Linked DNA regions of Xenopus tropicalis. Each later gene encodes a partner of the first gene's protein in a complex. Links are inferred from orthologs where the notes say so. Each region holds a gene or a part of one and is shown on either strand. Other genes may lie near its edges. The genes, in order: alyref, thoc3, thoc7, thoc6, thoc1, chtop and ddx39b.

What was found.
Region 2: alyref (region 1) and thoc3 share a complex: the UniProt entries of both Homo sapiens proteins name them as parts of the transcription/export (TREX) complex. The link is inferred for Xenopus tropicalis from reciprocal best matches to the Homo sapiens genes ALYREF and THOC3.
Region 3: alyref (region 1) and thoc7 share a complex: the UniProt entries of both Homo sapiens proteins name them as parts of the transcription/export (TREX) complex. The link is inferred for Xenopus tropicalis from reciprocal best matches to the Homo sapiens genes ALYREF and THOC7.
Region 4: alyref (region 1) and thoc6 share a complex: the UniProt entries of both Homo sapiens proteins name them as parts of the transcription/export (TREX) complex. The link is inferred for Xenopus tropicalis from reciprocal best matches to the Homo sapiens genes ALYREF and THOC6.
Region 5: alyref (region 1) and thoc1 share a complex: the UniProt entries of both Homo sapiens proteins name them as parts of the transcription/export (TREX) complex. The link is inferred for Xenopus tropicalis from reciprocal best matches to the Homo sapiens genes ALYREF and THOC1.
Region 6: alyref (region 1) and chtop share a complex: the UniProt entries of both Homo sapiens proteins name them as parts of the transcription/export (TREX) complex. The link is inferred for Xenopus tropicalis from reciprocal best matches to the Homo sapiens genes ALYREF and CHTOP.
Region 7: alyref (region 1) and ddx39b share a complex: the UniProt entries of both Homo sapiens proteins name them as parts of the transcription/export (TREX) complex. The link is inferred for Xenopus tropicalis from reciprocal best matches to the Homo sapiens genes ALYREF and DDX39B.

Annotation. Positions count from the first base shown.
Region 1 is NC_030686.2:27,893,665-27,897,895, forward strand, and holds the start of alyref (THO complex subunit 4), read right to left. Parts: upstream 2,801-4,231; 5' UTR 2,796-2,800; coding exon 2,550-2,795; intron 1-2,549. UniProt on the Homo sapiens protein: Functions as an mRNA export adapter; component of the transcription/export (TREX) complex which is thought to couple mRNA transcription, processing and nuclear export, and specifically associates with spliced mRNA and not with unspliced pre-mRNA.
Region 2 is NC_030679.2:45,416,968-45,421,143, reverse strand, and holds the start of thoc3 (THO complex subunit 3), read left to right. Parts: upstream 1-1,376; 5' UTR 1,377-1,391; coding exon 1,392-1,643; intron 1,644-4,176. UniProt on the Homo sapiens protein: Component of the THO subcomplex of the TREX complex which is thought to couple mRNA transcription, processing and nuclear export, and which specifically associates with spliced mRNA and not with unspliced pre-mRNA.
Region 3 is NC_030680.2:145,037,704-145,041,203, reverse strand, and holds part of thoc7 (THO complex subunit 7 homolog), read right to left. Parts: intron 2,659-3,500; coding exon 2,537-2,658; intron 1,664-2,536; coding exon 1,577-1,663; intron 392-1,576; coding exon 334-391; intron 1-333. UniProt on the Homo sapiens protein: Component of the THO subcomplex of the TREX complex which is thought to couple mRNA transcription, processing and nuclear export, and which specifically associates with spliced mRNA and not with unspliced pre-mRNA.
Region 4 is NC_030685.2:12,479,742-12,483,241, forward strand, and holds part of thoc6 (THO complex subunit 6 homolog), read right to left. Parts: intron 3,109-3,500; coding exon 3,046-3,108; intron 2,015-3,045; coding exon 1,904-2,014; intron 1,695-1,903; coding exon 1,566-1,694; intron 1,381-1,565; coding exon 1,297-1,380; 3' UTR 1-1,296. UniProt on the Homo sapiens protein: Component of the THO subcomplex of the TREX complex which is thought to couple mRNA transcription, processing and nuclear export, and which specifically associates with spliced mRNA and not with unspliced pre-mRNA.
Region 5 is NC_030682.2:108,269,980-108,273,479, reverse strand, and holds part of thoc1 (THO complex subunit 1), read right to left. Parts: intron 2,650-3,500; coding exon 2,554-2,649; intron 2,456-2,553; coding exon 2,373-2,455; intron 2,164-2,372; coding exon 2,093-2,163; intron 1,738-2,092; coding exon 1,629-1,737; intron 1,393-1,628; coding exon 1,261-1,392; intron 506-1,260; coding exon 405-505; intron 1-404. UniProt on the Homo sapiens protein: Component of the THO subcomplex of the TREX complex which is thought to couple mRNA transcription, processing and nuclear export, and which specifically associates with spliced mRNA and not with unspliced pre-mRNA.
Region 6 is NC_030684.2:144,115,430-144,118,430, reverse strand, and holds the end of chtop (chromatin target of PRMT1 protein), read right to left. Parts: intron 1,884-3,001; coding exon 1,700-1,883; intron 1,623-1,699; coding exon 1,497-1,622; intron 1,013-1,496; coding exon 816-1,012; 3' UTR 501-815; downstream 1-500. UniProt on the Homo sapiens protein: Plays an important role in the ligand-dependent activation of estrogen receptor target genes. May play a role in the silencing of fetal globin genes.
Region 7 is NC_030684.2:74,210,165-74,214,218, reverse strand, and holds the start of ddx39b (spliceosome RNA helicase DDX39B), read left to right. Parts: upstream 1-1,254; 5' UTR 1,255-1,335; intron 1,336-2,864; 5' UTR 2,865-2,886; coding exon 2,887-3,097; intron 3,098-4,054. UniProt on the Homo sapiens protein: Involved in nuclear export of spliced and unspliced mRNA. Component of the TREX complex which is thought to couple mRNA transcription, processing and nuclear export, and specifically associates with spliced mRNA and not with unspliced pre-mRNA.

The DNA.
Region 1 (4,231 bases):
ATAACGGCAGCTACAATCAGCCTGTGTATGGCCACCTTTAATCTAGCACAAACGCATGCTGGGAATCTTCCGTGCATCTACAATGACATCAGGGGGGTATGTTACAATATAATGTCAATTGCCAGTCAATACCAGTAATGCTATGCTAATAAGTTGCTAGGAGAAGCTGGAACATGCACAGTAGTGGAATATGGTGCCTGACCTCCTGGAAATTGCAAGTTGCAAAAAGCATGACGCTACCATTGGGTAAGCATTCTTAAACATAAGCTAAAGTAGGGTTTGGTAAATGGTCCTTACTGCAAAAACAGAAATTTGTATGCCAACATTTACCTTATATTTCACTGCCTGAGAAGTGCAGCATTACTTAGTAACTAACCTTTACAAGTACATGAGACCAGTTATCCAGAACGCTTGGGACCTGGGGCTTTCCAGATAAGGGATCTTTCTGGAATTTGGATCTTCATACCTTAAGTCTACTAAATATAATTTAAATATTGTACAAACCCAACAGGCTTATTTTGCCTCTGATAAGGATTAATTATATTTTAGTTAGGATCAAGTACATGGTAAAGTTTAATTACAAAGGAAAATTATTTTTTTATTAGAACTATTTGCTCATAATGCAAGAGATGGACTTTCCGTAATTTGGAACTTTTTGGATAACTGGTTTCTGGATAAGGGATCCCATAACTGCATAGCATATAGTTTAATGGACTGCGCTAACTAGGAATGAATAACAATGCGACATGCTTGCCCAGTGGTTCCCCAGCTGCATTTGGTTCTTGTAAAGTAGGCAGTTGATTACTAGCAATACCCCTCTGCAAAACATATCTACTTATCAATGAATTTGTTATCTACTTCCAAATAAAAACAACAAAGTAGCTTTAATCTACTAGTAAAAGTACTAGTATTTCAGCTTCACTTGTGCTGCGCAATAAAGGGGAATATTTCCCCTTTATCCTTTTTAGTAATATCTAGGGATTAAACATTTGCATTGCTATTACTTGCAGGGTAATATGGTATTACTTGCAGCCATAGTTCAGCAAAGAAATAGTGAAGGCATGACCGTTTAATGGTTAACTGATCTATGCAAGGACTCAAATTTTCTAAGGAAAAAAATAAAATGTATTTGGACATTTGTATAATGTAGCATCATGACATGAAAACACCTCATTGTGTAGCGTGCATCCCTTATATATAAATATATCCTTTTACAACACAACCCCAACAAATGTTACCAGCTTTACGCCTGTACACACCAAAACACTGAACCATGGGCACAATTTCTATAGAGACTACCAAGAGTGGCTGGTAGTCAGCTGAAAGCTCTGGCAGCTTCCATACATAGAGAAGGAAAGTGATTATAACTGCTTACCAGATACCCTGGGCCGGTGCACCTGTTCACTTAAAATGAAAGTTACAAACATTCCAGAATGTTAGCCCCCCTCAGTGAGACTGCACCAGTCGGGTGCAGACAAAGGGGTCCTCCTGTCTGAGCATGCCCAGTGGAGCAAAAAGCCAAAAGTTAAAAAAAAGCTGGTTTTCCACTCACCCATATGCAGTTAACCCCTTGTTGGTGCAGTTTTCTCCTTACAGGAGCACCCCCAGAGGTTTCAGGTAAGCGTTTACAATCACTGCAGGGATGTCCAATATCCCCCCCCCCCAGTGGTTGTACCTTTCCTTCTCTAAGGCTGGTGCAGTGTTTAGGGAACAGGGGTACTGGCCTGGGGTATCGGGTAAGCAATTATAAGCACTAGGGGACTAACATTTAACACCCCCCACCCTAAGCCCGGCTAACACTAACTGTTAGTGCAGTTGCTCAAACACTGTTGCAGCACAGCAATTCCATGAGCTGTAGGACAACTGGGTTTCCCATTTGGAAAAAAACATTTATCAGATATAAAAAATGTCAGGTGGGAAAGATATTCCAAGCTGAGCTGTAACTCCCAGGCCTGGCAATGGCACTAGGATTATCTACACTGTATGATTAGGGCCCACATTTGGCTCAGCCTCAGAACAAAAGTGAAGCTCATATCTCCATGTTTAACAACAAGAAAATCTAAGGAACTAACATTCATTTACAGAAATTCACGGAGAGATTAGCGCTTAGAGCTGTATAAGCCTCGGCCAGGAGCGCTGCCCCCTAACTTATACTCACAACCCCCCGCAGTAGCAGCCATGTTGGAAGTGCGGGAATCTTATGTTATTCTATTACTGTTACCGAGGAACTAGAGAAGCGCGGGCTCCCGGGGCCCAATCCCACCCGCCCAGCCCGGACCAGAAGGCCGACACCCGGGAGAAGCTGCTCCGGGATACGCTATCCCCTCCCCACGGAGCGCCGGACACAGGGGGCGGCCCCAGGCCCATAATCCCCCGTTGCGCAAACCTTCTCAGACCGGGCCCCAGCTCCTCGGTCCGGGCCTCATGGATGTCACCACTCCAGCAGCTGATCGGTCGGGCACACACCGAAACCTCTCCGGGCGGCTGCCTCCTCCGGTCACCGGCGCCTTTGTAAGGCCACAGGCCCTCCCTGCCCCCGCCTCTCCTACCCTGCTGTACGGTGCGGGCCGGTTCCTTCCGCCGCGGGTCAGGACAGGCCTTGACCGCATAGGCCCTCCGCCTCCCGCCGCTCCTCCTCCTCCTCCTCCGCGGCCTCCACCAATTCGGCCTCCGGCTCCTCCGCGGGCCGACCCGCCCCGAGCACCCCGTCCTCCACCCCGGCCCCTTCCGGCCGGTCTTTGGCTCCGATTAAGCTTGATGATATCATCTAGAGACATGTCCATTTTGTCCCCCATCGCGGCGATGTTTCTCAAGTTAACCGTGTAGCGTGCTCGGATGCGGCCTGTCCTGGAACAATACTACTATCCAGCCGGTGTGAGCCGCGCTTAAATAGCCCCGCCCCGCATATCCGGCACTCCCTGCGTCACTTCCGCCGGGTTAGGCTAACATTTAAACTAACAAACAAAAGTAACCTCTCTTTCAGTTCTTGCCACGAGTTGTTTCAAGGTGGGAGACTAAAGCCTAAACTGAAAATAAAGTTTATTTATAATGAGCTGCATCAGTTTCAGATTTTTCCAAGCGCCTCTATACCGATCGCTCCCCTGTATCTTGAAATGGAAGTGTTTAATTACGATACTTCTCACGTTGTTCCACAATTATGTTGGAACGCCAAACACGCTGATTATTTAATGCACATGTATAAAAAATGTAGTCCCTTGTGTGGTTTATAAGTATATTTGAAATCACAGACGTTTGTGTGAAAAATATGTTATATGTATTCTGATCCACCTCCTTGGTTTTTAAAAGGACACAAAAGATCATTTTTGAATGAACAGTGAATCAGAGAGAACATTCTCTCTAAGGAACAAAGCCATTTATAAAGCTTATAGACCTCAGTAGATTCTAAAATACTTTTACATTTTAGTAGGGGGTACATTATTATTTACAATCTACAAGTTTCAGGGGTCCCCGCTCCCCCCCCCCCAGCGCTTTCAGCAGGGGTCCCCAACCTTTCTTACCTGTGGGCCACACTCCTATGTGGACTGGCAGCCTAAATGAGGCTCTGTTTGGATTGCCTCCAATCCAGGAATTCAAAAATAAGCAGCTGCTTTGAGGCCATTGGGAGCAACATCCAAAGGGTTTGGGAAGAAACATGTTGCTCACAAACCACTGGTTGGGTATCACTGGCCCTCATGGGCCCTCACGCATATATCTAGAAAATATGGCCCTTTGCCTCGTGCCCTTCCATGTTTCTGATGTACAGGCAGGGCCGAAACTAGGGGTAGGCAGAAGAGGCAGCTGCCTAGGGTGCAACGATTTGGGGGCGCCAGGCAGGAGCCTCTCCTGCCTACCCCTGGCCTGCGTATGCAGGCCAAAGCACACACGAGGGGGGGTGGGGAAAGGTGCAGGGGCGAGGTGGCTGACCGGGTTGCCTACAGCTTGGCCCGCGCCTGTGTACTGGTGTGGCACTGCTCTATTAAAATGTTGTTTCAGTGTTACTTTAAGTTATAAATAGTGCAGTGTGATTTCAGAATGTGCCGTTTATAAGGATAGAGTTTTCTACACAGAAAAATGTCAGAATACTAATCAAAACAGGATGAAAAGCAGGCCATAGATCTAAAAGGAGAAGGTGGTATGAGGCACAAGGAGTGGGGATGGGTAAGATGCAGGAACCACCAAGGTGAGACGTGGCATTGTATATTGCACTTAAAGGTAATATAAAGTGAATTTT
Region 2 (4,176 bases), on another chromosome or scaffold:
GTGCGTAATGACGTCACATGTACACACGGGGCGCAACCTTATAAAAGGGCCAGGGACCGCCGGCGAAGGAGCCACAGGAGAGAAGCAGCGCAAGGAGTCGGAGCGCGTATGGGGGCTCTGTGTTTGGGGGGCTCTGTGTATGGGGGGGCCTCTGTGTTTGGGGGGGCCTCTGTGTTTGGGGGGCTCTGTGTATGGGGGACTCTGTGTATGGGGGACTCTGTGTATGGGGGACCTCTGTGTATGGGGGGCCTCTGTGTATGGGGGGGCCTCTGTGTTTGGGGGGCTCTGTGTATGGGGGGCTCTGTGTTTGGGGGGCCTCTGTGTATGGGGGCCTCTGTGTATGGAGGGGCACTGTGTATGGGGGGCCTCTGTGTTTGGGGGGCCTCTGTGTATGGGGGGCACTGTGTATGTGGGGGCACTGTGTATGGGGGGCACTGTGTATGGAGGGGCTCTGTGTATAAAGGGTACTGTATATAAAGGGTACTGTGTATGGGGGGTACTGTATATGGGGAGGCTCTGTGTATGAAGGGCACTGTGTATGGGGGGCTCTGTGGGCTTCCTTAGGTAGTACAGTATGAGGGTATAGCACATTTGCATCTGATCCCACCATTTCAACTATATAAAAGGAGTATTTTTAGAAAAAAATGGGGTGTGTTAATTGGGGCGTGGTCACAAAAGTGGGCGTGGTCAAAAATTGCCCCTCTTTTTGTTTTTCAAATGTTGGGAGGTATGCATACATTATCTATGATACTGCCAATACCTGTCATACTTTCCATGTATAACCATACCGTGGGGACCTCACTTTAACCACCTTTTCTTAGACTAAGCACCCATTACTGAAATGGCTAGCTCGAAATAACGAGCTAGTTAAATCAGAATGAGCAGTGTTTGGAGACCTAGTAAATAGCGTGTCTCCAGCCACCTGGATCAATATAAATTCTAAATAGATAAAAAATGTATTGGGAGGAGAGATGTTTTCCCAAACATCTGTGGGGCCCCTTCCCTCCGTCAGCCTCCTGCCACCTATACACTGCCCGCAGCAAACAAAACTACCATGTAGTAGACCCACCGCTCCCGGTCCTCTTGTGCCCTGGGATCCACCGCAGCCGCAGGCGGATATTATACCATTAATAGTTCTGAAACTGCGTTGCTTATAAAATAATAATCTTTTTTTTTATAAAATAATATAATCTTTTGTCAGTGCTTATCGATACCAGAGTTTTTCCACTCTAGTTGAATTAAAACTTGCAAAACAACCAACAAAAGTAGGTTATGTATTTATTTAAATAGAAAGTAATGTTACACGGCACTACTACAGTTTATAAAAACGGGGGCTGCAACTTTTAATAAAACTTCCACATGATAAAAGTATCTTCTAAACCGGTTGTGTAATGACCCGGAAGTCGACTCTGTGTCGCCAAGGTAACGCGGAGCCGGAAGTCTGCTGTGGCCGTTGCTTCCGGTTAAGTACCATGTCTGTGCAGGAGATACAGGAGCATTTCAAAACCAATAATAAGACCCGAGAGTTCTCGGCGCACAGTGCAAAGGTTCATTCGGTGGCTTGGAGCTGTGATGGGAGGCGCCTGGCGTCGGGCTCCTTTGACAAGACTGCGAGCGTGTTTGTGCTGGAAAAGGACCGGCTGGTGAGTAATAGCGCCAGACAGAGACCCAGGCGTGTGTTGGGGTCGCTGTCGCATATATATGTATATATATATATATATATTTTTTTTTTTCTATCATTTCTATCCTATCTGCATACCGTTAAACTGCACTGGCACCCAGGTAGTATCTGAAACACAACCAGCACCAAGGGCCTTGTGGTTCAAACAAATATTGGTGTATTATAATTGCATGTACAACTGACGTTTCGGTCCCTTTTGGGACCTTTTTCAAGGTACCGAAACGTTGGTTGTACATGCAATTATAATACACTAATACTTGTTTGAACCACAAGACCCTTGGTGCTGGTTGTGTTTGATTTGGTGTCTATTTGGTATTCCGTGCCCAGGGGCAGCTACATTGTAGCAACTTTCGGAGTGTGGTGCTGTCGTGTTGACTTGTATGTATGTATGTATATAAAAAAGATGCTAGTAAGCAGCACACCATTAGTTAAAAGTTGATACCTGGGTGCCTGTGCGCAAAAACAATATACAGGCTCGGATGACGGCACACACAGGATTTGCACATAGAAGTCACTGGGTCAAATGAAAATTAATTGCATCAGAGGTTTATTAATTCCAACATTTCAGCTCCCTGACGAAAGCTCCTGTGTGGAGCTGAAACGTTGGAATTAATAAACCTCTGATGCAATTAATTTTCATTTGACCCAGTGACTTCTATGTGCAAATCCTGTGTATGTATGTAATTATATATATATATATATATATATATATATATATATATATATATATACACACACACACACCCCTTTCTGTGGTGCTGCTCAGCATTGAGGTGGGCTGCCAGCCCAGTACATTCCCACGTTCAGCTTCTGGGGTTTCTTTTGCATCATAATCAAAGCTTTAATAACTTCTCAGTCTGCTTTAATCTGAAGTTGAGAGACAGTGAGTAGCATATACCTACATTTACTTTACTCAGTGTCCCCCGCACCCACAGGGAAGTGCTGTCACTGTATGCAAGGGGTGTATATGCTATCTCTGTCCCTTAGTTACTTTTCTCTAGGTACTGAGTTACCTTTCCTCCCCACTACAAACACATACCAGCAGATTAGGAAGGACTGTATTTTTTCCCAGAAAAGGTGGCAGCCCTACAGCAGATTAGACCATAGTGTATGTAAATGTGATAGGGATTTTTAGATTGTTAGCTCCACTGGGGACAGGGACTGACATAAATTTGATTTAATCAAGGGTAATGGAATATGTTGACATTATATAAATAGAAATAAAAAAATCCCAAATTACTAAAAGGTTGCACACTGTCAAATCACTTTTATTAAGGGTGAAGATCCTCTGCCCAAGACGTCTGTGTAGGCCTGCAGAATGAACAGATCGTTGCCCAACCCAAGTCAACATTCTAATCACCCTCATTTGGCCTAGTGTGGGGTCAGGCTATTAGGCTGAGATTTACTCATTTAGCTTTCTGATGAAATGAGCAAATTGTTTAGCCAGCTTTACATGTACTTAGACCCTTATGTCTCTAATAACAGTCACCTGATTACAGAGCAACAAAATCTCAAAATATTTTATCTGTGCCTCTTTTTCAAGTTTTTAGTTCTAAATTCTGTGCATTTCCATGGCATCTGTGGTTGTGTTGCCATTTGTGCATGTTAAAAGCAAGGAAAGTGTTTCTTACCGGCTTATTCCCACTAACAGATTATATTGAGCTGAACCTAATCGCTAAGTTATATTATGTAAAAAGTGCCTCCCTGACTTACATTCACTTCTTTTGTTGCGTGGTCTGTATCGCTAAGCCACGCCGCCATGTTTTTCTGAATTACATGATGGATTATGAGTTCTGCAGTGTCTCTGTGCATGCGCCAACATAATCTGTCCCCTTTACCCTGCATGTTGCTGACTCATTCTTGCTCACGCTGACCAATCCTGCTGCTGACTTGAAAGTGATACTGACACGAAAAAACAACTTTTTCAAATCTAAATCTACATAAAAAGTTGGCTATAGGTTGTGTTGATCATTTTTTGCTGATAGGGCTGCTTTTGTAAGTAATTGTTACTTGAAATCCCAAAACCTGACTGTTTTGCCAGCCTGACTGTCCCTTCTCAGCCTGTCAGTTACAGCTTCTAATGCTAACGGCCTCCTGCTGGACAAATATGGCAGCCCCCTCATAGAGGAACATGGGGGATCAGATAGGGAATGTAAAAGCATTGGGCAAATACTTTTATGGCAAAATTATAAATAGCATGCAAAGACAATGTTATGACAGATGTAAAAATGGTTTCATTTCTGGTGTCAGTATCTCTTTAAGGCGCATGCTCCGGTCTTGGTCTCAGACCCTACAGAATTATGGGTAATTTGAAAGGAGAACTCAGCCTTTTTTTTTTTTCCCCAGTGCACTGCTGCAGGCAAAGGACTCCGCTCAAGGTGACTTTGTCAAATCGCGCCACCGTGTATGCCATCCCACCAGTGGTTTACATTCTAGCTGGTGGAATGGCATTTTGGGGAGATCCTCGTGTGTCACAGCCCTTAGGGCTGAACTGG
Region 3 (3,500 bases), on another chromosome or scaffold:
GGTCACTTTAGCTGAACAGGGAACAGTTGGCAAAAGTTAGTGAGAAGAGGAAAGTCTTGTGATGTTGTTCTGCTTAGAACTGGCCATAGAAATGTCAGATGGCACTTCTTGATAACTTCATTTTCTGAGCAGAGCAACATCAAAAAAAACTTTCCCCTTCTCATTAACTCAATTTTCTGCCAATTGTGTCTGGCAGCCAAAGGATCAGCAGGTGGAGCTGTTGCTTCACATTCAACTGCTTTAAAACTGAAGAAAAATAAAAATTATATATATATTTATTTCCCTTTAATTTTTCAGGGGCGTGCATGCAAATACAACGGGTAGAGTACTTACTTTAGGGTTTCGTGCCTGTCTGGATGTTGCTGAATAACTTTGGCCAATGCATCATATTCTGGTAAACAAAATGACAATGATTTTTTTTTTTTAAAACTTTTTTTTTTATATTAAGTACAATTAAAAAGGGGATAAAAAATTGCAAGATTGCTGTTGAAAACCTGTAGGTTAAAGCTAACATATTTCTATGTATGCCCCTTTTGGAGATACTTATCATACCTTGACCATCACAATGTTTAGACATCAACTAATTTCCTGCAGTGTTTATACAGGGCTATTAATGTTGCTTCATGCTGTAAGCTTTGTAGAATACAATAGTGTTTTACAGAGCTGTATCTGCAGTGTAACCTTGTGCCATTTAGCCCTATTTCAATATGGATAGCTACCCCTCTGCTACACAGTAGCATTATTTGTATAAACTACAGTAGTGTTTCAGAAGCAAACACATAACTTTTGCCATTGCAGGGCGATAGTACATTGTATTCTAATTACTTTGATACATTTTCATTTTTTGGTGTTAGTGTACCCCTTATTGGGGCAGAACAGCCCTATTAGGTTTATTTAATGGTTAAATGATTCCCTTTTCTCTGTAATAATAAAACAGTACCTGTACTTGATCCCAACTAAGATATAATTACCCCTTATTGGGGGCAGAACAGCCCTATTGGGTTTATTTAATGGTTAAATGATTCCCTTTTCTCTGTAATAATAAAACAGTATCTGTACTTGATCCCAACTAAGATATAATTACCCCTTATTGGGGCAGAACAGCCCTATTGGGTTTATTTAATGGTTAAATGATTCCCTTTTCTCTGTAATAATAAAACAGTATCTGTACTTGATCCCAACTAAGATATAATTACCCCTTATTGGGGCAGAACAGCCCTATTGGGTTTATTTAATGGTTAAATGATTCCCTTTTCTCTGTAATAATAAAACAGTACCTGTACTTGATCCCAACTAAGATATAATTACCCCTTATTGGGGGCAGAACAATCCTATTGGGTTTATTCAATATTTATTTGATTTTTAGCAGACTTAAGTTATGGAGATCCAAATTACAGAAAGATCCCTTGTGCGGAAAACCCTTGGTCCTGAGCATTCTGGATAACAGGTCCCATACCTGTACCAGTAGTGTCTATCAGAATCTGTGCATAACAGACACAGTAGGGGTTTATTTCACTTACAACAAAATAAGCCAGCCTCATTTAAATAATTTTAGTTCTTTATTTATTTATGTTACCTTGGCGATTCTTTCGGATTCGCTTGGCTTGCAAGATCTGTTTTTTGCATTCTGCAATTTTCTCATGTGCTGCAGCAATACTACTCTCTGGAACATGCAAGAAAAGATATATTTTGAATGGTGAAATTATGTCAACTGAGCGTTTAGAAAGTTTAGTAAAGATGTCAGCAAAGCTTAGCAATATCAACAATAATGTATTAAAATGTATATTCAGCCTACTGTTTTTTAATTGAAATTTTTTTTTTAAAAAAACACATGATTACTGAAGTCTGGATATTTTAGAGTGTGGTAGGAAACTATTACCCGGAAGAAGAAGCTTTCCTGCTGCAAACAACCCAACCATGTTGTATGTCTGTAGTGCACTGCTAGAATCAATCAGTAGGAGGAAATGTGTGACTTGTGAGACTTACAGCATCAGCATATCGTAATATATAAACATTTTTTAGCAGGTTTATATATTGGTGACAGTTCCTACCAATAAGGCTCCGCTTTTTCCTCGCTGAAGGAGAGGTATTGGAGTGGGGAGGTCGGAAAGCTGGGTCCCTGGAGTGCTTACAAACCTCCATACAGTGTGAGGGGAAATAAAATAGTTATGATCCCATATTAGGCTAAAGAGGCTCTCAGCCAAGTCATTGTCCTCTGATGAAGCACCCAATGGTGCGAAATGCGTTAGGAGTGGGCACCATGAGGCACTGGGATGTACCTTTCCACTGTTTGGTATAGTATGCTTTTGAATGGTTTGTTTAAATTTTGAGCCAATAAATGGCTGGCCTGTAGCAGGTATCACATCTTTAAGACAGCAATTTAGAAAAGCTTAATGACATTAAACACACAAGAGTACCTTCCAGAGCCAAGGCGCAATTTTTCACTTTGCGTGAAAAGCCAAACCAGGAAAAAATGCTAAAACAACAAACTGCCATATTTTACTTAAATTTTATTTAAACTGGTAAAATGCCTTACCTATATCAACATATATTTTTTCATAGTTTTCCATTTCCCGCAGATTCATATCATGCACTAGAAGTGTTTTTCCCATGGAAAATTCACATTGAGACAAGGAGCTCAGCATGCGTTGGTACTGGCTGTACATAAAAGCACAACAAAAACACAATTACTATTCAAGATACTATGTATTGATCCAACTTCAGATTGGTAATTAAGGACAGGTAATTTTTTTTTCAACAATATTTTACATGCAAGTTGAAGAATCTGTCAAGATCAAACTTTAGTTAAAGTGCAACTTAATTGCTTTCAGGGGCGGTTCTGCATTGGAGAGGGTGAAAGATGGGCTGCATCACTAAGGGCATAATCAAGCTCTCTGCACTAAAAGAGCCAAAATTTAGTTTAATAACCAGAATTCTGTCTCTTAAAGACACCAAGAGTGGCTTTTTGCTGCCCCTGGAACTTGCAGTTCACTGTCGCCTAAGACAAAGTACTCAACTTGCCCCATGGATGGTAGCCCAATTGCTTTAAGCCAACATCAGAGCTAAAAATTAGAAGTAATGTGGCAGACAAGCTCTGCAGTCCAGACTGTACATATATACTTTACTTTTCAAATTCAGGACCTGTGTTAACCTGTCAGAGATGGGTAAGAAGGCAGCTTGTGCACCCACTGAGCATTTAGCGAGCATTCAGAGTAGGTCACTTAATAGACTAACAGTGCTTAGTGATGACATTACAGTAGTCAGGATCTATTTTCTGATTTATGGATCACAACATAAGAAGACAACACAACATAAGAAGTATAGAACTGAATGCATAGTTCAGATAGGGCTATAGCATTCATCTGAACAGATGACTAAAGCAAGTTGTCAAGTTTTTGGCTAGTTATCCAATGATCCTAGTCAAGTACCTTGGGTGCACTTTCAAAAGAAGATGCACAACAGCCAGGGAAAAATGTTACATTTTAGTTAACTGGGAGGTG
Region 4 (3,500 bases), on another chromosome or scaffold:
TGTGCTGAGGGGGAACGGATAGAATGACAGGCCAGTAGGAGGGGAGACAATGCTGGGCCTTACAGAGGCCGGAGGAAGGAACAGATTAGTTGGAGGCTTGGGTATCGCAGGGATGGGGCTAAGCAGAAAGGTGAGACTGATAGTTTTGTGCTAGAAATACAATGAACTTTTGTATCCCTAAACCTGGGGACAGAATTAACTGTAGGTGTCTGGGGTAGGACCATGTGACTCAGCACCAACTTGTACAGTGAGAGATGGAAGAGAATGCTCAGTGTACTACAGCCTGGGATTATACGAACTAGAATGTTCCAAAAAGGGATAAAATATTACAAAGGCAATGCTTAGTCTACTACAGCCTGTGATTGGATCAAAGTGAATGTTCTGTTGGGGACAGTCTGAATATAGATAAAATAGAATGCTCACTGTACTATAGGGGGTATTAAATGAATGGGAATGTTTAGAGGGAGGGGTAGTCTGAGATTAGATAATTAGACAAAGGCAATGTTCAGTCTAGTACAGTCTGTGATTGGGTGAAAGTGAATGTTCAGCGAGCCACAGTCTGAGATTAGAAGAAAGACAATGTTCAGTGAAGGATACTCTGTGACTAGAAGGAAGAAAATGCTCAGAGTACTAATGTCTGGTATGGGATAAAAGTGACTGTTCAGTGAGAGACAGTCTAGATTAGGGGTGGCCAGACTTCGTCCATCGGCGATCTACCGGTGACTCCTCCCCCAAGATGCAGCATACGTACGCGTTCACGCCGCAATTTTGCATCTCCCGGCTTTGTTGAGGTCCACTAGGAATCCACGGGGGACCGACTAGTGGACCGTGATTGACGTCTTGGCCACCCCTGGTCTAGATTGAAGAAAATGCTCAGGGTGCTACTGGCTGAGATAAGATGAAATAGAATGTTCAGTGAGGGACAGTCTGAGATTAGAATAAAGACAATGTTCAGTGAAACATACTCTGTGACTAGATGGAAGAGAATGCTCAGGGTACTAATGTCTGGGATAAGATGCAATAGAATGTTCAGTGAGATTAGAAGAAAAGACAATGTTCAGTGAAGTGAAGATACTCTGACTAGATTGAAGAGAATGCTCAGATGAAAGGGAATGTTCAGTTGGGGACAGTCTGATCAAGGATCCTCAGCAAGGGATACTCCATGTACTGTAGGCTGAGATTAGATGAAAGAGAATGTTCAGAGAGGGACAGATTAGGATAAAATGAAAAGGCTCAGTATAGGACAGACTGGGTTTAGTTAAAAAAAAAAAAAGAGTGTTCAGTAACAGATAGAAATTAAGTGAAAGTTAGAGAGAACGCTCGGTATCGGAAGTTGGTGAATACATCAATCTTGGGGCCACTGCCAGCGGCTGTGAGGACCTGGAAAGTGAAAAAGAGTGCAAATTAACCAAGAATAAAGGGGTCTCTCACCCCTGTAGGTGCTGCATCTCATCCCCCTACACTGTCCCCTCTCACTTTGCTTTGTACCTGCCCCCAGCTCCCAGGCCCCTCACCTAAATATCAACATTCCCAGTAAGCCCAGCCTCCAAGCCTTTCATCCCTACCTTATTTTCCTGTGATGCCTCATTGACGCTCAGAGAGTAAACACAGCGAGGGGTGCTGGGAATCTGCGCTTTGATGTCCCCGTTTATCTGACAGTGATTAACATAGGGGCCCTGCCCAGCGCACAGGATCTGGGGAGAGAGAAAATGGCGGCGAGAGAAATAGGAAATTATAGGAGTTATAAGTGCATGGGAATCTATAGGAAGAGATGGAGCAGACGCAAGGTCCATGGGAGGTGGAGGGGGGGCCACAGTGCCATTTATCAAAGGTTTATGATTGGTTAAATGGGGAGAAGGGGGTCAGGAAAGAGCAGGATAAGTGCTGGAAACAATTCACTTACCATGTCCTGGTAAAACATGACCTGCTGCTGACTCTCATTCAGTGGGAAAATGGTTGTTGGCGTCACGGAGCGAAGGTGCCAAAGACTCAACTTGGGGCCCCCGCCACATACCTAGGGGTGAGAAACTGTTACACATCCAGACCGTCACTCACACACAGCGTGGCTCTGGGGGGTCTCGGTGACAAAGCCACACAGGGTCCCGTGGTTATCCATGGGTATCACAATCACACAAGGCTGGACCTCATTGGATATTACTGTTCCAAGGCTAGAAACCCTGCACCTTTACAGACACTGATTGTACCCAAGGCCGCCATCAGGAACTTATGGGAGTTATTTATATGGGGCCCAGATCATATAAAGAGTTCCACTGATTAATGTGCTAATAAGTCATTCAGTTTATTGGGGGTCAGTGGGGTTTGCCCTAAGTTTAACCCCTTCCCACCTACCTGCTCCTGGCTCTGTGCTGTCATTGCTTGATATGGAAGTTACGTACGTTTTTGCATAAGTTACGTAAACGGCGTTGAGGTGGCCATACACGCTAGGGGTGGGCAATATCGGGCTGATTCAGGCTAATTAGAACGACGGGTGAAGGTGCAGTTGGTTCGGGGACCACATCAATGAGTCCCCGATCCGACTAAATTTTTTAAACCTGCCCGATCGATATCTGCCCGATTTCAGGCCAGATATCGGTCGGACAGGCCCGTCATTTGGGCCAATAAGCTGCCGAATTGGTCTAAGGGACTGATATCGGCAGCTACAATCGCCCCTTGTATGGCCACCTTTAGTTAAGGGGCCCAATAACTAGTCAGTAGTAGTTCATAAAAATAGCCAAAATAATGATTGTGCTAAGTCAGTATTTTAATTGGTCAGTGGAGTTTATACATAAGTCATGTAACTTTCTTTGTATGCATAACTTTATGTGTAACTTACACGATTTGCGTAACTTTCACAATGTCACCGGGCCCCCTTAAGAAAGATTTCACGGGGCCTGGCACAACTGTACCCCCTCTCCCCCCCAATGGTGGCCCTGATTGTACCCCAAAGGTGCACCAACCATATCCCCCCCCCCCCCCAGCAGGTTCTTACCATCCAATCAGAGTCGGTGGTTAAACCATATCCCACCCCCCCCAGCCGGTTCTTACCATCCAATCCGAGTCGGTGGTTAAGCAGCTGATCCATTTCCCGTACTGTGGCCGAGCGCATTCCTAGGCACAGACAGATGGTTAGCAGGTACCTGCCAGAGTAACCACAGTTGGGCTCCCTCGTTCCCTTTTCTAGGCTGTGGGCAGGGCCTCAAGGGCTGTTTTGGTTAACGAAAGAGGATTTTCTAATTCTGTGCTATGAAGGAGGAGGGGAGGAGCGCCCTCTGCTGGCTAAGCAGCAAACAAAATGGCAGCCTGCCTGTCGCTGTGTAAATAATGCACCTAAATCTATTGCATGCTGGGACATTACATATCATGTCAACCCCAAAAATAATTGTGTGCCTAATAAAAGAAAACATGATTCTAAGCAACTTTTCAATTAAATTCCAACTTTAAAAGTTATGTGTAAATGTAATTGCTACTTAAAGCAGCATTTGCTGAACTCCTGGGTGTTA
Region 5 (3,500 bases), on another chromosome or scaffold:
AATGGCCACGCAACACACAATCTGAAAATGTCACGTAAGAGGGTCTTTAGGCAGATGAGGTACAGTATGTGCAACGCAACAGACCTTGAACAGCACTTTTTGGCATAAGATTATGCTCTTTTGCATTACTATGTACTGAAAAGATAAAATAGAATTATTTTCTAAGCATTGTTCTATAAATGGGCCAAATTCTTTAATCTCTTGGAAACGGCTGGAAACCAGTGTACACCAAATGTTTGTTACAAAGGACTTTTCACACATACGTAAATTATAACTCTCTCAAAACGCATTCATTTTGTTTAAATGTCCGCACAGGTCACAAGATTATGCCATTTATAAAGTAATGCAAGTGTGTGCCATCTGCCCAATAGATTCATAAGAGGTATTTCATTTCCACTAGTTACCTTTTAAATTTGACTTGTCCCTTTAGATACTGAAACAGAATAAGGTACTGAACCAATATATGGCGACGGAAGTTGCTGTCACTCAGCTGCAGATCCATTAACTGAAACCAACAAAGCATAGCACAGGTTCTTAAAGTCTGAGAACATAATATATGCTGCCTCTAAAGATCTGTAACTGACAAATTGAATGTAAAGAAAAGCCAAACCAAAAAAATGCATAGTTTATAAAACATCAAACACAGAAATCTCTTTGCAGTCTCTGTCACTCATAACACGTGTTCTAGTCAAAAAATGAACAGTAAATGCAATAAATGACTTCTGAAACCACACTGGAAAGTGTAGTTTATAAGCAAATAGAATTTATAGCTTTAATGTTGAGTAGAAAATATTTTGTAAACATAGACAGTGGTAGGCAAAAGGTTAAATAGGTAGTTCACCTTTACATTAACTTTTAGTGTGATGTGGACACTGATATTTTAAGAATTTGCATTTGGTCTTCATTTTCTATTTTGAATGTTTTTTTTTTTTTTAGTTATTTAGTTTTTTTTCAGCAGCTTGTTGTTAGGGTCTTATTTACCCTAGTAACCAGGCAGTGGTGTGAAAGAGACAGGAATGTGAAAAGGAGAGGACCTACATAGAATATGTAATAAAAAAATAACAACAATATTATCACAAAGCAATAGTTTGTGGCTGCTGGGGTGAGTGACCCCCATTTAAAAGCCAGAGAAGAGGCAGAGGAGAAAGGCTAAAAGTTAACCTGAACATGATCCACCCCTTTAGCTGTATAAATGATACAATGATAATAATGAGGTTAACTGGAATCATACATTTCTTTCAAGGAATACCAAGAAATTACCTTTTCACTGGTCAAAAATTTGGCAAAATACACATGTTCTCCTCCAGATTTTAGCTCTTCGATCTTTTTCCTTGATGCCTGAGTATCATCCAGCTTATAACTTTTAAATACAGTAAGAACTTCATCTGAAAACTAACACAACAGAAACGCACCACATTAAGATTTAAAAAGTACCCAACTGTTCAGTTGTCAGCAACAATGGTTTAGATAATTATGTTTGGAAAAGCTGAAGGAAAAGGAGGACTACAAGAAACAATATTCACAGACTTGGAAGGAAGGAAAAAGAAAATAAATAAAGTAAAGAAGAAAAGCCAAAATTCTGCAAGATGTTGTATTGTCAGTAGAATAGGCAGATGAGATTTATGTACTTTGAGAAAGGTTTTCCAGGAGTTCTTGTCGTAACACTGCACAGGATTCCTGAAGAAGTCTTGAAGTGTCCAGAACTTCCTATACAGGTTGTAGTCTATGGGGATAGATCTGTAAAATACATTTGAGTGCTGTAAGGATGATGTCCACAAAGTGTAACAAACACACAAGGAATCAATACACTGGCATTTGCTACCACAATGCTGGGGGGACCTGGCCAATTCTGCCAGATGCAGCGACTGATCAACCCAAAGCTGCCCCATTATTCAGGCTCCTAAACAATTTTTCTTAACTTTCTTTACATAAAGTAAAGACCACAGAGAGGTCACCCATCCTAATGTGAATACTCTTAGAAGCAGACTAAGCTTCTCTGGCTATTTGTCACCTGTGCTTAGCCCTTGGCCAGAGTGCAGACTGAATGTGCTCATCAAAATGGGGGGTATAGTTTTCCTTCAAGTAAACTTACGAACTATTAGGTGCATCATCATCTCCCATTTCCCCTTCTTCAATCTCCATCCCGTCATCTTTTTCTTCCACCTAATAAACACAAAATTCATGGCAGCAAAGGTTGCGTGCAAGTGTGAAAGCCAGCACTTTAACTTCCAGGAATATCCAATATACATGATTTATAATGCCAAGCTCCCAGCCAATAGCCAGAGGCTTTCAACGGGTGCTAGGAACAATGGATGGATGCTATCCCAAGCATTAGGATAACATGAGAATGAACAAACAAAAAAAACACTTGCCTTCTGTCCCAATGTGCTTTCCTGCTCATTGGCATTAAATACAGTGACATTCTCCAAATTAAACTGTGACTGCAAGTTCAAGCCTTTAATAAAGCACAAACAGATCACAGTGGAAAATCAGTGCTATACAGCTAACTGGTCAGTAGAAACAATAATTCCACTTCAGTGACATTATGCTTACCAGATTTTTCAGAGAGAGGGAAGAGTCGTGCAAGAAATAGTTGAATCCTTCCACAGAAAACTGTGTTCTGAGATTTTGATAGTCTTCTTAAGAGATCTAAATGTATAAAAAATATAATTTCCAAAACCTCATACAATACCATTAACAATTACTGTCCCGATATTCTTTATGGTTGTGATCTATAACAGTGTATTCACTCACACTGGTCTCTGATCGTTTTATAGATAAAGTTACAGCAACAAAACACCAGGAATTTTCACAGCTCACAGTCTACAGGTGCAGAGAAAATGCGTTGGTTGTGCATTATAATTCTCAAGCCAGGAGTTCATTGCAACAAATCCATGCACCCAAACTGACCCTAAATCTTGTTTTCCTTGGGCATGTAGTAAAAGGCATTCTCCTCAAACCTTGCCCTAAATTGCCTTCTCTTGACACCCCTAGGATAGTGCCACAGTCTGGGAACTACCATACTAAAATGTGACACTCCCTTTAAATAATGAAAATAATGATAAAGTCGTGTAAAAGTCGAGTAAAATAATAATAAGCCCTGTAGAATTAGTTACTATAGCAAATATAACTTGATCTGCTTAACAACAGCCCATTGAACACTAAGCAAGTGTGTTGTCACTGATGTTAAAAAGATGGACTAAAGATTTGGGGAACTATAGTTAACTCTGAATGCACAGGTAGGCTGCTGAGTTGGTACAGTAAGTTCAGTCTATAAGATAGCTGTATACCTGCCTACATTTGTAGCTATATTTATTTTAGACTATTTCTTCTTTAAGATAAATTATGCCCTATTTATAAGTAGTATTTACAATAATACCTTAAGTATCTGTACATTTTTGTTTTCTACATAGGTGTGGCAGCTGACAATCACAATTAACTGGTTTAACAACATGGGTGTATCCTAGCTCATCAGTAAGAAAGGCTTAAGTGTTACTTGC
Region 6 (3,001 bases), on another chromosome or scaffold:
CAGTCTGACCCTGAATAAAGCCCCGTTGCACCTCTGAAAGCCCTGCACCCCCAGTCCGACCCTGAATAAAGCCCCGTTGTTCCTCTGTAAGCCCTGCACCCCCAGTCCGACCCTGAATAAAGCCCTGTTGCACCTCTGTAAGCCCTGCACCCCCAGTCCGACCATGAATAAAGCCCTGTTGCACCTCTGAAAGCCCTGCACCCCCAGTCCGACCCTGAATAAAGCCCCGTTGTTCCTCTGTAAGCCCTGCACCCCCAGTCCGACCCTGAATAAAGCCCTGTTGCACCTCTGTAAGCCCTGCACCCCCAGTCCGACCATGAATAAAGCCCTGTTGCACCTCTGAAAGCCCTGCACCCCCAGTCCGACCCTGAATAAAGCCCCGTTGCTCCTCTGTAAGCCCTGCACCCCCAGTCCGATCCTGAATACAGCCCCCTTATAAATAAAGGCACCCCGACAATGGCCGGAACAGCACCACACAATACAAACCCACAGAAAACAAGTTTTTACAAAACGCACAAAACTTTATGAGTGGTATCCAAGTGCAGCAGCATACCGAGGGGCAACGTAAACTTTGCACAAACTGACGGCAATCGAACCCAAGGGGCGGCACGGGGCCGCGGGAACTTAGTGTGCCAACCTGTCGCTCGCCTCCGTACATTCAATGGTTAATAAAATAGAGTCAAAAGAACAAATAGGTATGAAAAATGTAAAAGGAACGCTAAAACCAGGGGGCGGTACCAAAAGGAGGCGTGGCACAGTCGTGCGCGTGCTGGTAAGAGTCTGTTCCTTAGAAATATATAAAAACATTCGGCGGCTCAGTCGTTGGACTCGGGGTCTGCCTGTGCCATGTAGGCGTCCAGCTCGGCATCCAGGTGCCCCTTGGTCTTTGACATGTACGCGTCCAATTGGTTATCCAGCTGCTCCTTGGTTATCGCTGGGCGGGCCACGCCCCTTCCTCTCCCTCGTCCTCTGCCGCGCACAAAGCCCCTCCCTCTGGTCATGCCCCCGCGTCCTGCGCAGAGGGAAAGAGGCTCAGTAAGGGGCTACCACTTAAGGCACACAGCCAGGAGGTGGGGGTAAAGTTTAGTAAGGATCTCAGGTGCAACCAGTCCTGCCTACTGATCATTGGCCACAGACACCCCAGGGTTATATACTAAGGAGAGTATCCCAACACATATGACTGGGACACACAGATACCCCAGGGCTATATACTAAGGAGAGTATCCCAAAATATCTATCAATACCAATGACTGACACACAGACCCCCCCAGGGCTATATACTAAGGAGAGTATCCCAACACATCTATCAATACAGATGACTGGGACACACAGATACCCAGGGGCTATATACTAAGGAGAGTATCCCAACACATCTATCAATACAGATGACTGGGACACACAGATACCCAGGGGCTATATACTAAGGAGATTATCTATCTGGTACCGCCAGGCCCTAAGGTTGATGTACTACACAGGTACAGGATCACGTCACTTACCTCTTGCACTCATACCGCCTCGGCCCATAGCCCCTCTCATCATTCCCCTCCCGGGACCCCCGCGGCCCCGCATCCCTCTCCTCAGACCCATTCTGGCTACTCCACCTCGGCCTCGGAGGTTCTGCCCTGAAGGAGAAGATACAAGTTAGGATTACACGTTCCATAACCCGGCAGTGTTAGGGTGCAGGGAATCCAGAACTAACCCCTCATAGCCATGGCTCCCCTGGCCATTCCTCTCCCCCCGCGGCCAATACGCATCATCCCTCTCTGTGCGCCTCGTAGTCCCATTCCTGCTCCTCTCATCCCTATGGCTCCGCGTACGAGACCTCCCACCGGCCTTCCCAGCCTGGCCTGGATATTGCTCTTACCGAGACGCTGCTTTAGGCTCTAGCGAGAGAAAGGGACAGTGTTAGGCAGGGAAATTCAGTAACATAAGCTACATCCATAGACAGAAGCCCGAGAGCCAATGAGCAGCCTCTATAGAGGCAGTTTCTTCCAATCAGAGATATAGCGGTGCCACCACAGCACCACCCTACACAGTCATGTTCCTGGCCGTTTGGCCGAGGGACGGAGGCTTTGGTGCTAGAATGTTACACAGCCTCCAGTCCAAGCACCGGAGTCCCTATTGCCAAGCAATAGAGGGGGGCAGTGTAAGGCACCCCACTCACTGTAACAGGACACAAGGAGGCATCTATACGATTCCGCTGAGCCTATGTAGGTCAGGCCTCACTTAGTATTAATCAGAGGATCAGCCAACACAGAGGCCATGGGATACCATCAGATACTGTATCAGCCTGGTATCTCACTGAGGCAAAAGCTTCATATAATATATTTATTACTTTACAGTTACTCTGGCATACTAGCCCAAATGGCCCGGAACCCGTCTGGGTTGGTTGGGTGAACCGTGGCGGATCGTTACACTTGTACCTGCAAAAAAAGTTGTGTATTAATAATGGTGTCTTATGTAGTTCTGCCTCTCCCCTCACTCATCTACTGCTTCTGTCTGCTTGCTACTCAGGCGCTTAGTAATGCCTGGGTGTACCCCTGCCTCACCATGGGCCTCTCCTCAGCTACAATCAACTGTATCTTCCAACCTGGTGTTTATATACTTCATGCCCTCAGTCTGTGAGGTTCAGATGCCAACAGGATACTAGTGTTCAGCATAGTTATACATCCCCCTAACTGGCCTTCAGGCTGGGCCCCCTTAGCCCATAACAAGGTTACAGATATATAGAAACATTGGGGTAACAGTCACCCCGCTATAGTTCCAGGGGTACCCAGGGCACAAATAAGCACTCACCCCAAATCCCCCCCTAACTGGCCTTCAGGCTGGGCCCCCTTAGCCCATAACAAGGTTACAGATATATAGAAACATTGGGGTAACAGTCACCCCGCTATAGTTCCAGGGGTACCCAGGGCACAAATACCCACTCACCCCAAATCCCCCCCTAACTGGCCTTCAGGCTGGGCCCCCTTAGCCCATAACAAGGTTACAGATATATAGA
Region 7 (4,054 bases), on another chromosome or scaffold:
CAAAAAAATGAACCATGTACATAAGTATAAAAAATAACCTAATAGCAAAATGTCATGCTATTAATGTCCACTAACTGCTTACATGGGCAGGTCAAAGTCAAAATGTTTTATTTCAAGCACTATGCTTTTTAAGAATCATGCATTAAACGCTACAGACAAAATACTCAGGGACTGAAAACTGTACAGCAGCACAGGTCCAGTCTTCTTGAATGTTTGCAGTTCTCCTTTAGAGGCAGATCCCTCACCTACAAGAGTGTTGCACTGACCTGATCCTATCCAACCTACATGCACCCTCTTAAGGGAAGGGAAAAACCTTTAGAGATGCTTAATTTCACATGGATCTAGTTAGCAAAAAGATATTTGTTTTTGGTCAAACTAGGAAGGGGGAAGCTTAGATGGGAACTGTTCTTGTTGGCAACTATGAAAAATGTGGGTTTATTTGTTACCTGGCACAAATGGGAGCTCTCAGCACTGGGAAAAAAGATGACAGCTAGTGATGAGTGAATTTTTTCTCCAGGCATAGACACTTGGCAAATTTCTGCATTTCGCCATTGGTGAATTGTTTTGCGAGACTTCAAAGAAAATTTGTTGTGCATCAAAATAGGCACACTCGCATCTAAATGTGCAAGGGCGACAAAAAAAATCAAACACGTTTTGCAGATATTTTGCTAATTTTTCGGCAAAGCAAAACGGGACATATTCGCTCATCACTAATAATTGCACTTTTTATTTAAATATTGGGCTTGGAGGCTCTAGTGGTCGTGGTGCTATAGCTGCTAACAGAAAAACTGTTTTGTTGCCTGGCATATGTTTGAGTTGTAGTGAACAATAAAATTGCACTTTTGCACACCTCCTAATGTCTATGCACTGGCCTTATACGATTAACCCTAGAGTTGCTGACTTTCCCTTGAGCCACAAATAAAATGCAATCAACTCAGCCGCCACTTAAAACAAAGAAAGAACGTTTATTACAAGAATGCTTAATTGTTTAGGTTCGGATCCCCTGTAATTATTTTTGTATTATTGCTAGCAGCCACCATGGCAAACCGCATTTATTTTTTGATTTGTCTGTGACCTGCACATAATAGAACTTATTTCTACAATCGTATCCTTCACTACCCAACACCTTTCTCGATTCTACCTCCTCCGCACACTCCACAACCGGCTGAGTTTCGCGTCACCGCGCTTATATAACTAAAGTGTGACGTCACGATCCCGCGAGATGAGACTGTGATGTGACTCTAGTGAGAGCGGGCCTTCTGGAACCGAGGAATTGGACGTCAAAACGGCGTTGTGAATCCTTTAAAGAGATTATTATCAACACTTAATTAAGAGGTAGCGTTTCTGGGTACAGACACATTACCCGATATTGTCAATCTATGAGATCAGTTAAAAGGAGACACGAACGGCCGGAGATGTATGAACATGCCGAGTGACACCATAATAAGTCCCAGTAATAGCTCACAATGTTGCACAGGATAAACAAAGGATAATAGCAAATTGGGAGATCGATAAATAGAGCAATTATACGGGTGGAAACCCCTCTAAACATGAAATTACATTTTTCTCGGCCTGGGCTCAGGAGGGATTGGGGATGGAGCAGAGTCATTGAGGCTATTGCTGTAATAACACATTTTCATCCCACCTCACAGCTGTATTTATTCTAGTGATGTGGCAGGAACACAACACAATAGTCGCGTATTCATAGCGTATCTTATTTAAAGAGGGTACATTTCTCAGAAATATCTGCTTTTTCCTCAACTAATATTGCCACATATGATAGCAGCAACATATGTTAACCCACATTTTGGTACAGCACGTCAGAGCTTTGGTCAGATGGGAATGTATGAAATGAAACCCCTTGAATCTCATTCAGACTCAATACATGTGATATCTAGGTGTCCTTGTGAGCTCCTGGATCCAGTTTTATCCAACTGCACTTCCACAGAAATGTGACATTTGCACAAAGCTAAAATTTCACTCCAAACACAAAAAGTGTAATGAGATAAGGCTGTTGGGAGGAGGACAGCATCAGTGAGCCAATGCATTCCATATCTATAGATTTTTAAAGAGTAAAGGGAAGTTAATCTTTAATTTCCTGCTCTGGTACAGGTAATGTTTCTCTGGCAGCATATTTCAGGAGAAACAGTCTATACTTCTCCATACTGCCTGTTACAACCAAGATTTTATGTCCCAGGATTTCAAATTTTCCCGGAATTTTAATGTGGTCCCTTTCAGGCCACCTGCATTTTTTTTCTTTCTCAGATTTAATGTTTACCTGGAATGTATGCTGTTCTGATATGGCCCCCTGGGAAACGTAAAAATGGGGTTCTACTGCAAGACAGATTTAATAACATACATAGAGAGCATTTTTACTCTTTGGTTGTACTGGCTCTATATTTTTTTAATTTCATCAAACTGATAATTTAAAAAGTAAAGGTCCCCATACACTGGCAGATCCGCTCGCTTGGCAATGTCACAAAGCGAGCGGATCTTCTCCCAATATCCCCCACCTACGGGTGGGCGATATTGGGAGAGTCCAGGGTAATCCGATTGTTTGGCCCTGGGGCCAAACTATCAAATTATAATGACGGGCAAAGGTAAAGTCGGTCCAGGGACGACATCAACGAGCCGATGCGGTCCCCGATCCGACTAGATTTTCTAACCTGTCCGACCGAGATCTGGCCGATTTCAGGCCAGATATCGGTCAGGCAGGCCCGTTGGAAGTGCCGATACACGGGCCGATTAGCTGCCGAATCGGTCTAAGGGACCAATATCAGCAGCTACTATCGCCCAGTGTATGGGGACCTTTAGTCTTCCAACCATCCTTCATCTGTTGCTTCTGTACTTTTTTTGTGTTCTAGATATCACTTCTACTCGCTAAAAATGGCAGAGACAGATGTAGATAATGAACTACTGGACTATGAAGACGATGAGGTGGACAACCAGGCTGGAGTGGATGCTCCTGACATAACTGTCAAAAAGGAAATGAAGGGATCATATGTATCCATTCATAGCTCTGGTTTTAGAGACTTTTTGCTCAAGCCTGAGCTGCTTCGTGCCATTGTAGATTGTGGCTTTGAACATCCATCAGAAGGTAAGAGAAGGGAAATGGGAATCTGTTAAAACTACAAAGGTCTGGTAATGTTGTCGCTGAGTTAAAATGATAGTTGGAGTGTTAATTCTGGTAAAATGAGAAGCTAAGTTTGGCATGAGCATATAGCTCATATTTTTGTATATCATCTTCTAGGTTTAGTAATGTGATTATTGCAGGATAAGTTAAGCACATACTTCCACCCCCCCCCCCCCCCCATATAGTCACACAAAGGCCACCTTCCCAAAGCACTAGGCATGCTCTCAGTGCTTCTATTTAAAATGTGTCCCTGTATGTGACACCACTTCAGAGAATTCATGTCAGAATGCTGTCACTGTCATTTTTTTTGTATATTTTACATATGAAAATTTTATTTACTCCAACAATTCTTGTCAAACCCACTGCTAAAGTAATTAATATACCAAATATGTATAATTACTGTATTTAAGAGTTCCCCAGTAGTATACTTTTTTTAATGAAGCCACTCCTGTTAAATATTTGTTCCAGGAGACTGCCTGGCAGGATGATAGGCACACCCTGTGCCTTTATGCATTTTGTTTCCTAAAGAAAAGTTTTAGACATCAGCTAAATGCTGTTCCTGTATAAATAGTCATCTCGTCCACTAAAAAAGCAAAATTAAAAATAACACAATTGTTGAAACCAGAGCTTTGAGCAGCCAACATTGTTGACAACTGGTGTTGCCCTATAAATGGTTTACATGGAAGCCCAATTTTTTTTTTTTAATCTTTGTTTAAAGTCCCTGTGTGTGCACTCTATTCTTCATTTACATAAACTCCTGGCCAGCACCTGGGGCAGTTGATTGTTTGTAGGGAGTGCTCCTTTTGTTTCTTTTATTTATTTATATATATATATATATATATATATATATATATATATATATATATATATATATATATATATTGAATAATCAGTCTACTACATGGCATATGTTTGCACTTC